2 linked regions of the Canis lupus familiaris genome follow. The protein of the gene in region 1 purifies or fractionates together with the protein of each later gene. This does not show direct contact. Links are inferred from orthologs where the notes say so. Each region holds a gene or a part of one and is shown on either strand. Other genes may lie near its edges.

What was found. The genes of interacting proteins can lie anywhere in the genome.
Region 2: the proteins of FYB1 (region 1) and LCP2 purify together in Homo sapiens (co-immunoprecipitation; 6 studies listed by BioGRID and IntAct, with this or other methods). This does not show direct contact. The link is inferred for Canis lupus familiaris from reciprocal best matches to the Homo sapiens genes FYB1 and LCP2.

The regions. Positions count from the first base shown.
Region 1 is NC_049225.1:70,767,305-70,772,839, forward strand, and holds part of FYB1 (FYN-binding protein 1), read left to right. Parts: intron 1-1,952; coding exon 1,953-1,975; intron 1,976-3,014; coding exon 3,015-3,084; intron 3,085-4,015; coding exon 4,016-4,153; intron 4,154-5,535. UniProt on the Homo sapiens protein: Acts as an adapter protein of the FYN and LCP2 signaling cascades in T-cells. May play a role in linking T-cell signaling to remodeling of the actin cytoskeleton. Modulates the expression of IL2. Involved in platelet activation.
Region 2 is NC_049225.1:42,500,144-42,506,348, forward strand, and holds the start of LCP2 (lymphocyte cytosolic protein 2), read left to right. Parts: upstream 1-2,381; 5' UTR 2,382-2,660; coding exon 2,661-2,738; intron 2,739-6,205. UniProt on the Homo sapiens protein: Adapter protein primarily involved in signaling pathways within T-cells, as well as other immune cells such as platelets, mast cells, and natural killer (NK) cells.

The DNA.
Region 1 (5,535 bases):
TAGGAGAAAGCACCATCCTCTTCTTCCCCTTCTCCAGATGCCTCCTTGGGTCCTTGCCTGCTTCACCTGCTCTTTCCGGATTCCTCTGGGGTAGAGGGACTGACTGTGCACTTCAAATTCTGTGAGCAGACAGGATGCTTAAAAGCACAGATTCTGACAGCTATCCTTCTCCTTTTTTTCTCAACTGAAGCTATTTCTGTGATAAATATGAGACACTGAGGAAAAGGAAATTATACATGCAAATACTTCATCACATAGCAAACTTGCTTCTCCGCTCCCCAAACTTCTTTGCATCTCTCCTTCCCTCCTTTCCTTCCTTTCTCTTTTCCAGCATGCTTCTCTCCTTCCACTTCATCCTGTAAATGCCAAATGGACCATTTTAGGAAGCTAAAGAATTGCTCTAAAAATAAAATAATGTGTGGCAGCTTTGCTCCTGATTATTAAGACTCTGTTCGTTGGGAATTGGTAGAAGAGTCTCCAAGATGAAATGTATTTGCCAGGAGTGGCAGCCAACCAAAATTGCAATTTTTCACATAATTCTAACTGCTTGCTTCACGCTCAAAGGGAAGTGTCAGACAAAATGAATGTGAAAACAGTATGGAAGCAAGTGGAGAATATACTTAAACTTCATCAAAAATCAATTCCTTATTTACACATTAGGACATTTATAGCATGTTTTTCTACAAAGTTTCATTAACTAGAGTATGGTGGTATTTTTTTTCCCCTAAATTAACCATAGACCTGTGTTAGAACATTTCTTTTATTCTGACTTTAAGGTTGAGGAATCAGATACAAGTGTATAATTAATACTGCATGGTTATAATATTAGCCTGATATCTGTTGCTGGCAGATTATCCAAAGTACAAAAATGCTAGTTACAGAGGGTGCAGCGAAGTGTAGACAAAACATTATGGAGGAAGGCAGGATGCCGAAGTTCTTATGTCAGCTCTTCTGTTCATTAAAAGTGGGTTTGGTCAGGTCACTTCATTTTCCAGAGCCTCAGTTTCCTTTCTACAAAATGAGGGGATTAAGCCAGTCCTCTGAGATTTTCCCAGTTCTCACAATCTACTTTTCTTGTGCTGTAGCAGAACTCACATTTTAGTGGGAGACACAGGCAAGAAAACAGATGATTATAAAACAGGGAAAACACAAAATGTTAGAGAAATAAATACGAAATACAGACAATATGGATTTAGAAAATTCAGGGCCACACTATTTGCAATAATAATAAAATTTCGGGGTACCTGGTTGGCTTAGTCGGTTAGGCACCCAGCTCTTGATTTCAGCTGTGATCATGATCTCAGGGTCATGAGATTGAGCCCCGAGTCAGGCTCTGCTCAGGGTGTGGAGCCTGCCTAAGATTCTATCCCCCTCTTTCTCTCTGCCCCTCCTCCAATTTGCACATGTGCATGCGCAGTCTCTCAAATAAATAATCTTTGTTTTAAAAAAAGAATAAGATTTTGTAAGATTCCAAGTTTTTAGAAACCCTCCCTTTAAAAAAAGTTTATAATGCTACTAGACTAAGATCAAAATGTTGTGGGTATAACATATTAAAAGAGAATTGAATTTAATTGCAATAATGGTTCTTTATGACTCCTGGAACAATACTGCTGGTTGGTTGGTTGTTTTTCATAAATCTATCTACAGAATGATATAATAATGTATAACCTGAAAACTACCTCACGGGAAATGTTAGAAGCAAACAGTAACATTGTTTTGAAGACTTTATGTAGTACTAACGTTCACTTGGTTCTTATTAGTTTGTTTTGGTTTGGTTTTTGCCTTGTTTCTATTATGATAAGGAACAATGTTTCTTCCTCTTTACATACAACATCCTGATAACTTTTAACTGCAGTGTTATTTCTCTTTTACATAACTGTTCAATATAGGCAATTCCTTCCCATTAGCTACATAATTCATAAGCTCATTTAATTTGTTTATTTTTTTCCTAGCCACAGTCAGAGTGGAAGTGGAGGTAAGCCACACACTTTTATCAGCAATTTCTTTATGTCTTCACCATTTTTGTCTATATTAATAACAAGATGCTTTTGTTTGCACATAATGAGGAGGATCTTAATGTGGTACCACTGGATTAGGAGCTAATGACCTAGATTGCAGTCCTGACCACTGAGTGACCCTAAACAAGTCACTTCTTTCCTCCAAGTTTGTTATGGGTTATAGGGTGACTCTATTTCCAGTGTGCCCAGGGCAGTCTTGATTTATGCCAATTGTCTGAGCACAATTATTAATAGTATCCCCCTTCACTTTCAGAAGTATCCTTATTTGGATGATAACTTATATGGTTACCTTAACTATGACAGCTAAAAACTCCTCATATCCTCATCACCAAAATAAAGGTATTTTACTAATACCTTGAAGTGCTAAAATTCTCATCCTAAAAGTCAGATTATAAGTTCTTTGTACACATTTCTGCAAGGAGGAGGTACTCAATAAACATTTCATAAATAAATATTTGTCAAATAGCAAGGTTCCTGGGGATTTACAGCAAAGGGTTTTTAACTCCTAAAATATCACTTTGATTAAATGAATCAGAGCTACCACCAAAATTCACAAATTCACGTTTAATTCTGTTTTTCTTCACTTATATCTTGATCATTCTCTTTTTCTGAATGTCCCCTCACTATTAATTAAATTTTTCTTATCACCTCCTCCCTCCTCTTTTCCACAATATTTTAACTCTATCTTCAACTCAGTTTTATTTTTTCTCATATTTATTCTCCCCACTGCACAGTACCCTTTATTATCCTTCATATTCAATATTCAAATTTCACCTCTAAGAATTCCTTTAAAAATAATCAACAAAACAATTAATTTACCTACTATCTATGTAAGAGTGGGAAAATAAAGTTATTCTTTAATTAAATGGTTAATAAGGAACAGGGATATTTTCTGCAGTTTAAATAAGGCAGATTTATTATCAAATTTTGAGTGACTATTACATGACCAAATTATAAAATTAACAGAAGTTTCTCTCCCCCACCATCCAAATGAAGGGATGTTCCCACCTCCTCCCCCAGATGATGATATTTATGATGGGATTGAAGAAGAAGATGCTGATGATGGGTAAGAATAATCAGTGAACTGCTTTCTTGAAAATTTTTTGCCAACTGAAATTTAGTGTCGATTTCTGGTTTGAATAAAAAAACAAAAAATAGTGCTCCTTATTACCACACGAATAATAGTTTGAATGTTTACTTAATAGCAGATGTAAGTCAGAAAGTATAATTGCACCACACTTCAAGTGAAGTGGCATGTTATTTGGAAGAATCTCAACAACTTTGTCAAAAGAAATGAAATAAAAAAGAATTATCAGTGTTGTAGTTTTTTTTTCAAACTTTTCACAATCATTTTTTTATCAATCTATAATCTCTGGAGAGTTTATCAGTTGTATGGCTATCCTCTGGATAATAACCATAGTTATAGGCAATCCAAATAAAATGAAACCATATGCTATTTGTGGCAAAACTAGTATTGAGGGGGATGGGGTAACTGGGTGACAGGCATTAAGGAGATCACATGATATAATGAACACTGGGTGTTATGTACAACTGATGAATCAGTGAACTCTACCTCTGAAACTAATAATACACTATATGTTCATTAATTTAATTTAAATTAAAAAATAAAAATTAAAAAACAGTGTTAATTCTCTAAGTGTTTAAACTTTTATAATGGCATATTTTAAAACAAAGATTTTCACTTAATTTTAAACATAAAATAATGCAAAATTGACACTTATAACTTAATTTTGATTTAGCTTGCTGTTTTAAAACCAAGAGATATTTCACTAAATAGAAAAAAATAACTTACCTACCAGTAGCAGCAATATTCAAAGACCGTGGCCGATAAACTTAAAAGCATCATCTTGGTGACTACAATGAGTAACTTACTGCCTGAATGATCAATGCAGTATAATTATAAAAAATCTGAATGTCCACCCATCTTCACATTCCATTGATGATTCCATTCTGATCAATGCCTGCATGCTCCTAAGCTCCACACTACAGGTTGAAGAGAAGAGTAATTCGTGGTCCTGGGGGATTTTGAAGATGTTAAAGGGAAAAGATGACAGAAAGAAAAGTATACGAGAGAAACCTAAAGTCTCTGAGTCAGACAATAATGAAGGTTCATCGTAAGAGTCAACCAACCAAATCCAGTGCACAATAACTACACTAATATTAATTTAATCAAATGCTACTAATATTTTATAACCAATAACCAAATTCTGACAGGCTTAAGTCACTTCGATGTCATTTTCCATTAGTCATTTTAGCCTTATTTACTGTCACCCTTACACTCACGCATTTATGTAAGAGGAACACAAAGTATTCAAAAATTATCATATGGTTTAAAGATATATTTTGCCTTCCCAACAAACATGTGCAGATAACACACACAAATGCACAAACACACACCCTCACATACTCCTACATACTGCGTTTAGTAGAACTTTTTTTTAAATGTAGCATCATATCTAAAAGCTCACAATGCCAAGGCCACATTATATTATATAATATTTGATAGTGACTACCCTTCAAAATATACATCCTCTTTTAAAAATTAATTTGCTGGAAGTAAAGGACAAAATTTGGAATTTCTTTTCTCTAAATAAATATTCAACGTCTCGGTAGCTCAACAGATTCTCCATACTTCACTAATGTCTTTTTAAATGTTAATTCCACATAGAATTCCTTATTTTAAACTCTTCTGTGAGACCTAAAATCAACACCTAGTAAACAGGACACTCAAAATTGTAAATAAACATAACAAATCCTCTTTGATTTTAACAAATCCTCTCTTGATACAGCATTATTCAAATGATGACCTTACTTAGAAATAAAGGCAGAGATTATTTTTCTTGCTCCTATTGTACACCTCCTAATTTTGATTTTCAGTCATTTGAACTAATGACCTTTCACACCTTAGTATAACTGTGCACCATTCTTCTAGAGATGTGTGTTTGTGTGTGTGTTTAAAGTTCAGAAAGTTATAAAAGCAAAGGCCTTTTTCTGTTGCAACTAAATGCCACCCAATGCTGATTTCAGATTACTGATTAGATTGCAACTAAATGCCACCCAATGCTGATTTCAGATTAATAAACTCTTCCTCTGTGGCTACAGTGGATATTCCTCTCTTATTCACCATTCTCCTGTTTGGGAAAACATGGTCATAGAAAGAATCCTATGACCTTTGTTCATTTCTACTCTTTAAGTCAAATAAAAAGTTTTGACCTGAGCTATGCCACAATGACTCCAAAACATTGAGTCCATTTAATTTACTCTGATGTGATAATATGCCCAAACTTCAGAGAACAAATCTGAAAATATTTGGAAGAACCTCAAAAATAGATGGCTATGGGCAAAATAAACCACTGGATACCTTGACTTTTGACTTTTTTGGCCACCATTGGAATTAAAAAAAAAAAAAAAAAAAGTCTTGCAAAATTGAAAATTGATGGAAAGGAGCTGAGACTCAGTGGAGAAATGGAGATGAGAAAGGAATGACCATCAAATA
Region 2 (6,205 bases), about 28 Mb from region 1:
AATCCCAGGACCTTGGGATCAGACCTGAGCCAAAGGCAGACGCTCAACCACTGAGCCACCCGTGCCCCAATAGTGCCAATAATTAAATAAGACAATTAGTGGCAAGTTTTTAGCCTATTCCCTGGCACAGGAGAAAGACTCCACATGTTTTACCCGTGATGATTCTTATCTCCATCATCACTGTCATTCACATTTCTTACCTTCTGCGTCTCTCTTCTAAATGAGCTCCACGGATTGTTCATCTTGGCCACATTTATAGGATAATTCTTTCAAAGGAACCTAGTATTTAGCTATACCTTAATTCAAAGTCAGTGCTTCTGTAGATATTTATTTTTCTGAGTGGGAGTGAACATCATTAAAAAAATGTTTCTCTTTATAACATGATCTTAAATATTCCTTTACACAGGTGCTGTGTGTTTTGTTTGCTCAGGAAGTATATGACAACACACATACCCACAGGTCCAGAATGTCCTCTCTCTCATTCAACTTCCAAGTCCCCACTTAAGTCTCAGATAATTACACAACATCTTCTTAAAAAAAAAAAAAAGATTTTACTTATCTATTTATTTGAGAGAGTAAGTGAGCATGCATGTGCACTTGTGGGTACACGGGAGGGGGGCGGGCAGAGGGAGAAGAGAGAGAGAATCTCAGGCAGACTGCCCGAGGAGCATGGAGCCCAACTCAGGCTCGATCTCATGACTCTGAGATCATAACATGAATGGAAACCAAGAGTCAGACGTTCAACCAACTAAGCCACCCAGGTGCCCCCCACGACATCTTCTTTGACTACCCTATCCGGAAGTGATTTCTCTCTTTTCCCTCTTTGCAAATAACTTTGTCATTGACCACTATTCCAGTGATTTGAAACACCAAGTGACCTCTCCCACCAATGGCAGAGCTTTTGAACAGCAGGGCTGTGCCCTGTAGAGCACAGTTAGTTATCAAGGGCTCTTCCAGGCCTTGAGAAGAGCTTTGGATTGACTAATGCCCCCAGCCCCCTGGCACCACATTTTATGGACTGCTTCCCAGGTGCTGGGCCTGGAATGAAATGCAAATCTCCTATAAGCGCACAACAACCTGGAGAGGCTGGTGCATTGAAAGTAGGGCTCCTTAGATTGTGTGTAAGATGGGAACCACGCATGGCCAAGGCTCCCCTCAGAAAGGCTTCAAGAAGGTACCTCCACATGACATAGTGTCACTTAGTGCAACAGAGCTTGATTCTTCCCTCAAATATCAGAGCTGATGGCTCTGTGTGTGTGTGTGTGTGCGCGCGCGCAGAGCATTGGCTGAAGTGGAGGACCTATGTTTAGAGACTGTGATGTTGCACAAATATATTTGCTTTTTTACACTGGATTCTCCCACTTCCAATGAGGTGCACATACTAGGAGAAGTGCCGGGGTCTGAGACCAGCTAAGAAAGCAGCAGATGCCCTGCTGCAGGGCCACTCCAGCGAATGTCCTCTTTGGGTAGAAGATACGGGGGGATCAGTGGTGACTAGAGTCTTTGGGGGAAACAACAGAAAATAGAGCCTCGGGCAACATCAACAGTGGTCACTATTTGTGTGCCCTTAATTTTTTTCTCTTTAAGTTTGTCTAGTTAGCTGCATCTAAGGGTTATGTGTATATGAGACAATTCTTGTTTTCCCATTTTACGGATATGGAGACTGAGACTCCTAGATTTTTAAGCCCTTGCAGGAGGTTACGCAGCATGGAGATAATCTTACCAGAAATTGAACCTAGGTCTACCTCTTTCTCAACCCTGGGTGCCCAGCTCACTCACCGAGAATCCTCTCATAATTATACGGAGGCTGCTGAAGGAATGTCAATGTTGTCCTTTTGGGAGAGACTGAGGGATGGCTGGAAAGCATTAAAAGGCCATGCTCTAATAAAAAAATTAAAAAAAAAAATTTTTTAAAAGGGATCCCTGGGTGGCGCAGCAGTTTGGCGCCTGCCTTTGGCCCAGGGCACGATCCTGGAGACCCAGGATCAAATCCCACGTTGGGCTCCCGGTGCATGGAGCCTGCTTCTCCCTCTGCCTGTGTCTCTGCCTCTCTCTCTCACTGTGTGCCTATCATAAATAAATAATAAAAAAATTAAAAAAAAATTTTAAAAGGCCATGCTCCTTCCCCCTGGCACTTTGCTGATGTGGGAGATCATGTGTATTTTAGGTCAACTGTCAAAATAGATTTTCATCTGCAAAGACCCGGCCCAGCAGGACTGCGGGACAAATATCTGGGTGCCAGGAGTTTTAATGGACACATACTTGGGCTCACACTGGAATCCAAGTCCCCTTCACTGCCTCTCCCACGGGGCGGGGCTGGCCGGGCCAGGGGGTACAATACCAACCCTGTCGCTCTCTCTACCTCCTCCAGCCACCAGAGCTGGGCTTCCTTGTTTACTTATTTAGAGCCGAGCAGAGGAAGTGGTGAAGGAAACTTGCTGAGTCGTTTTCTGAGAAGAGACCATATTTGTTCGCAGAGGAAGCTGTTGCTTTCTGGGATCTGGTTACAGCAGAAAAGCCCTGTGCTCCAACAAGGGTGTTCCAGACGGTGACTGGAAGTTGGAAGAGCCAAGAACACCTCCACGCTCTGGACTGGGGTTCTCCATCCATGGGTGCAGCACCCATGCTCAGCTTGTGAGTTCTGTCCTGGGAGAGCAGCCATGGCATTGAGGAACGTGCCCTTTCGCTCAGACGTCCTGACCTGGGACCCCGACAACCTGGCCGACTACTTCAGGAAGGTGAGTTTTGCTCTTTTGTGGGCGGGGAGGCTGGCTGCCCTCAGCGGGGTGGGCAGTGGCTTGAAGAAGGAGTCAGGCAGAACAGCGCAGAGAACTTCCAACCCCGTGGCAGCCTTACCAGTTGAGCGAGCACCATGTAGATGTCCATACACCCCTGAGTTTCTTGGCGATGAGTTCTGGGGAGAAGGGGTCCCTCCGATGGATGTGTATCTACTGAGCGCCGGGCTTGAGTGTGCGCTCTGCAGGCACTGTCCCATTTAACACTCTCCAGTATTGCGGTCCTCTGGGCTCAGCTGAAAGTAGGCTCAGGAAGGTTAAATGGCCGAAAGCCCCAGGGACTACGAGTGACAGAAGCAGGATTCCAGTCACGCGTTTCTGGCTTCAAAGTCCGTGCTCAGGGGACTCAGAACTGCTGAAGCCACTAATGAGATCAAGGCTGCTTACTAGAAAGGGGTGAATGGGGCCCTGGGCATGGGAGAAAGAAAAGGCAGGGCAGGAGGGACGGAGAAGGCTAGCACGAACAATACCAGAGATGGTGGCTGGGCAGTCATTGCTCGTGACCTGAAGGAGGGCTCCTCACGGAGAACAGAGTCTCACTGGAGCTTTATGAGGGTCTTGTGAAGCAGGTGGGAGAACTGCTATGAGCTCTAGGTTATGATCAGTTGAGATAGCCAAGGAAACTGAGGCCTGTAAGAGGAAGAGCTCTGCCAGCAGGGTCAGAGGCCAAGCCTGTGGCAGACCTGAAACTAGAGTGTTACCATCCTGCCTTCTGGCCCTGGAGGAGCTGCTCAAGGACCTGTGCTTGGTCATCTGCTGAGGAGACCACAGGTCACACATCTGCTTGAGTAGATTCCAAGCCACACAACTTGGGTACTCTCCATCCCTGTTCAAAAGATAAGAAGTCTTGTAAGGAACATCTGAGCTTCCAACACCCCAGTCCCTGGAGGATGGGATGGAATTCTGTTGACACTTCACATGGTTGTAAAGATGATATTTTAAAGTCAAGATTTTAGATGTCACTTAAGTCAACTTTCTGTTTTTTTTTTCCCCTGGGGGTGGAATGGGGCTCCCTGGGATGTATAGACACATGGGGTCTATATGATACCTAACTGCTCCCCATCAACCTAAAGAAGAAACATGTGGAGATATAGAATCGAGTGTGGCATGAAAGATGTATAGCCCACAGATCCTGTTATTTGCTGCTTTGTGTGTATCTTGTTTTTGTTCTTTCCTCCAAAAGGTCACAATAAGCTTAAGCTTCAGCACTGTGGGTACAAAGATGCTTGAGACAACTGCCTTTTGAAGTATTTTTCTTAAATGTAGACCAAATAAATTAGGGCAAGAAGACGAAACTTGCCAAGATGCTGTAAAGGGCGTGTTACCTCAATTAAAGAAAGGAGAAAATACTGAGAATTGGTGAGAGAACCCTAGGAACAGACTGAGATGCCCAGACAGGTCCTGTCTTCAGTGTGAGAAGAACTACACAACCTGGTCGAGTAATAGCAGAATCCATGGGCAAATCTCCCCTTAGTGCAGGGAGGTGGACTACAGGTCAGGGGTGATTTAAACAAATCCCTCACCAAAATGATGGTAGAATGAGGAGATCGAAAGGAATCTGTGCCGGCCATCTGCTTGAGGTGGGGGAAGGGAGAGCTGCTTCTTGGAGACCTCAGACCCTGGGACCCATCTGCAGCACTGGGACAGTTTCATTCTTCATAAACCGCCCCCCCCCCAAAAAAAAAAACCCAAACCAATCCCTCATCAAAATGATGGTAGGATAAGGAGATCGAAGGGAATCTGTGATTCGGGAAGTCTCAGCCCCCACAGACTCAACTGCAAATCCTAGGAACCTTGATTTCTCCAGAGAGAAAACATCAAGTGAACTGACCATGGAGTCACTTGGGAATGGATCTTAGTCATCAAATATCCTGTTCAAAGGATCCATGAGCAGGTGCAATTTCTAACAAAGCAGAGAGGTTGGGCCTCTTCGGAGACACTTCCCAGCCAGCCCTGTAGTCAGACACTTTGCTCTGAATCCTGGCTCTACCACCTGCTAGCTTAGTGACCTTCCTTTCACCTCTCTCTGCCTCAGCTACTTCACCAGGAAAAGAGAGATGCTAACAGCAACTTCCCTCATGGGATTGTTGAAAGAATTAAAAGAAATATGGTGTGTGAAGCACTCAACAGATTGAGGGGCCAATTCATGTCTGAAATTCCCTTTTTTGCTCTGTTTACCGGACCCTAGCTGCGGACGTTTATGCAGATTGACAGGCCTTTGTGTCTTCCTATCTTAGATATGTGTAGTTCATCCCCTGCCTAGAATAGAAGTCCTCTCTGAGGACTGAGGTCATGTTTTGGATTTCTTTAACCCCTCCAATTTCTTTTGACTTGGCAGGAAAGCATTCCTGGGCCATGCAGTGGAAAGGCATTGACTCAGAGCCATTACTAATCCCGGTTATGTTCCCAACCAGCTGTGTGACCTCAGACCAGTCCCTTCCCCTCTCTGAGCATCAGCTGTCCCGTCTACAACAACAGTACCTCCTCTAGACTACCAGAGCTGAGTGCTCGTAGAATCCCCTATATGCTTGCTAAAAATACGAATTCTAGCCCCCAGGCCTACGGATGCTTTCCTGGTATCTGGTTACTGGATCAGAATCAACTTCTAGAGCAGCCCCAGTCTGCAGAGCTATCTGTGTATGTAGAGTCAAACCTAGCAATCTGCAAAATCAGAGCTGTATCTGATAATGATGACAGTAAATGATGAATTAAAGGCAGTTAAATATTCCAAGAACTACTTCTACCTCACTGCATGGAAATAGAAGGGATGATCAGGGTGCCTCAAATGTTGCTCACATTCCAACTTGACCTCTAAATCAGCTTTTTCTGATAGTTTTAAAGTTTATCCCATCCTTTCAAGCCAAGAAATTACAACAATTCTATTCACTTTTTAGATTGATTGACCATTAAAAAAAAGACCAAGATTTGCCCCCAGAAGAAGGTTGCCACAGATTTTGAGCCTCATACTTTGACAAGAACCAAAGGTTCTCCAGGACAGACATTTCACTTTAAATACTCCAGCCCAAAGTATCACATTTGGAGATGTTTCAAATGCAAATTCTCATGCTGCTGAAGACAAGGTGAAACAGAAAACTGAGATTAATAACAGATGTGACTCTTTGGGAAAGCAACCAAGATCGTTCCTGTGAATCTTATAACTCTATTCTGAGAATCCAGTTTAATTTATCTTAAATAGAAAAAAAATATGTGTGTAGAAGGATATCCATGATGTTCTTTCTATACTCTGATCCGGATGGTGTATTAAGGTACACTTAAATTTGTTTGCTTTACTTACTGTAAATTATCATGTTACCAACAAAGAGAGGACATTCCTGACAGAGACATTAAAGCTTTGTTCTGAAGCCCGATTATCACCTCTGTCACCTGCTACCCATGGACCTCATGCAAAT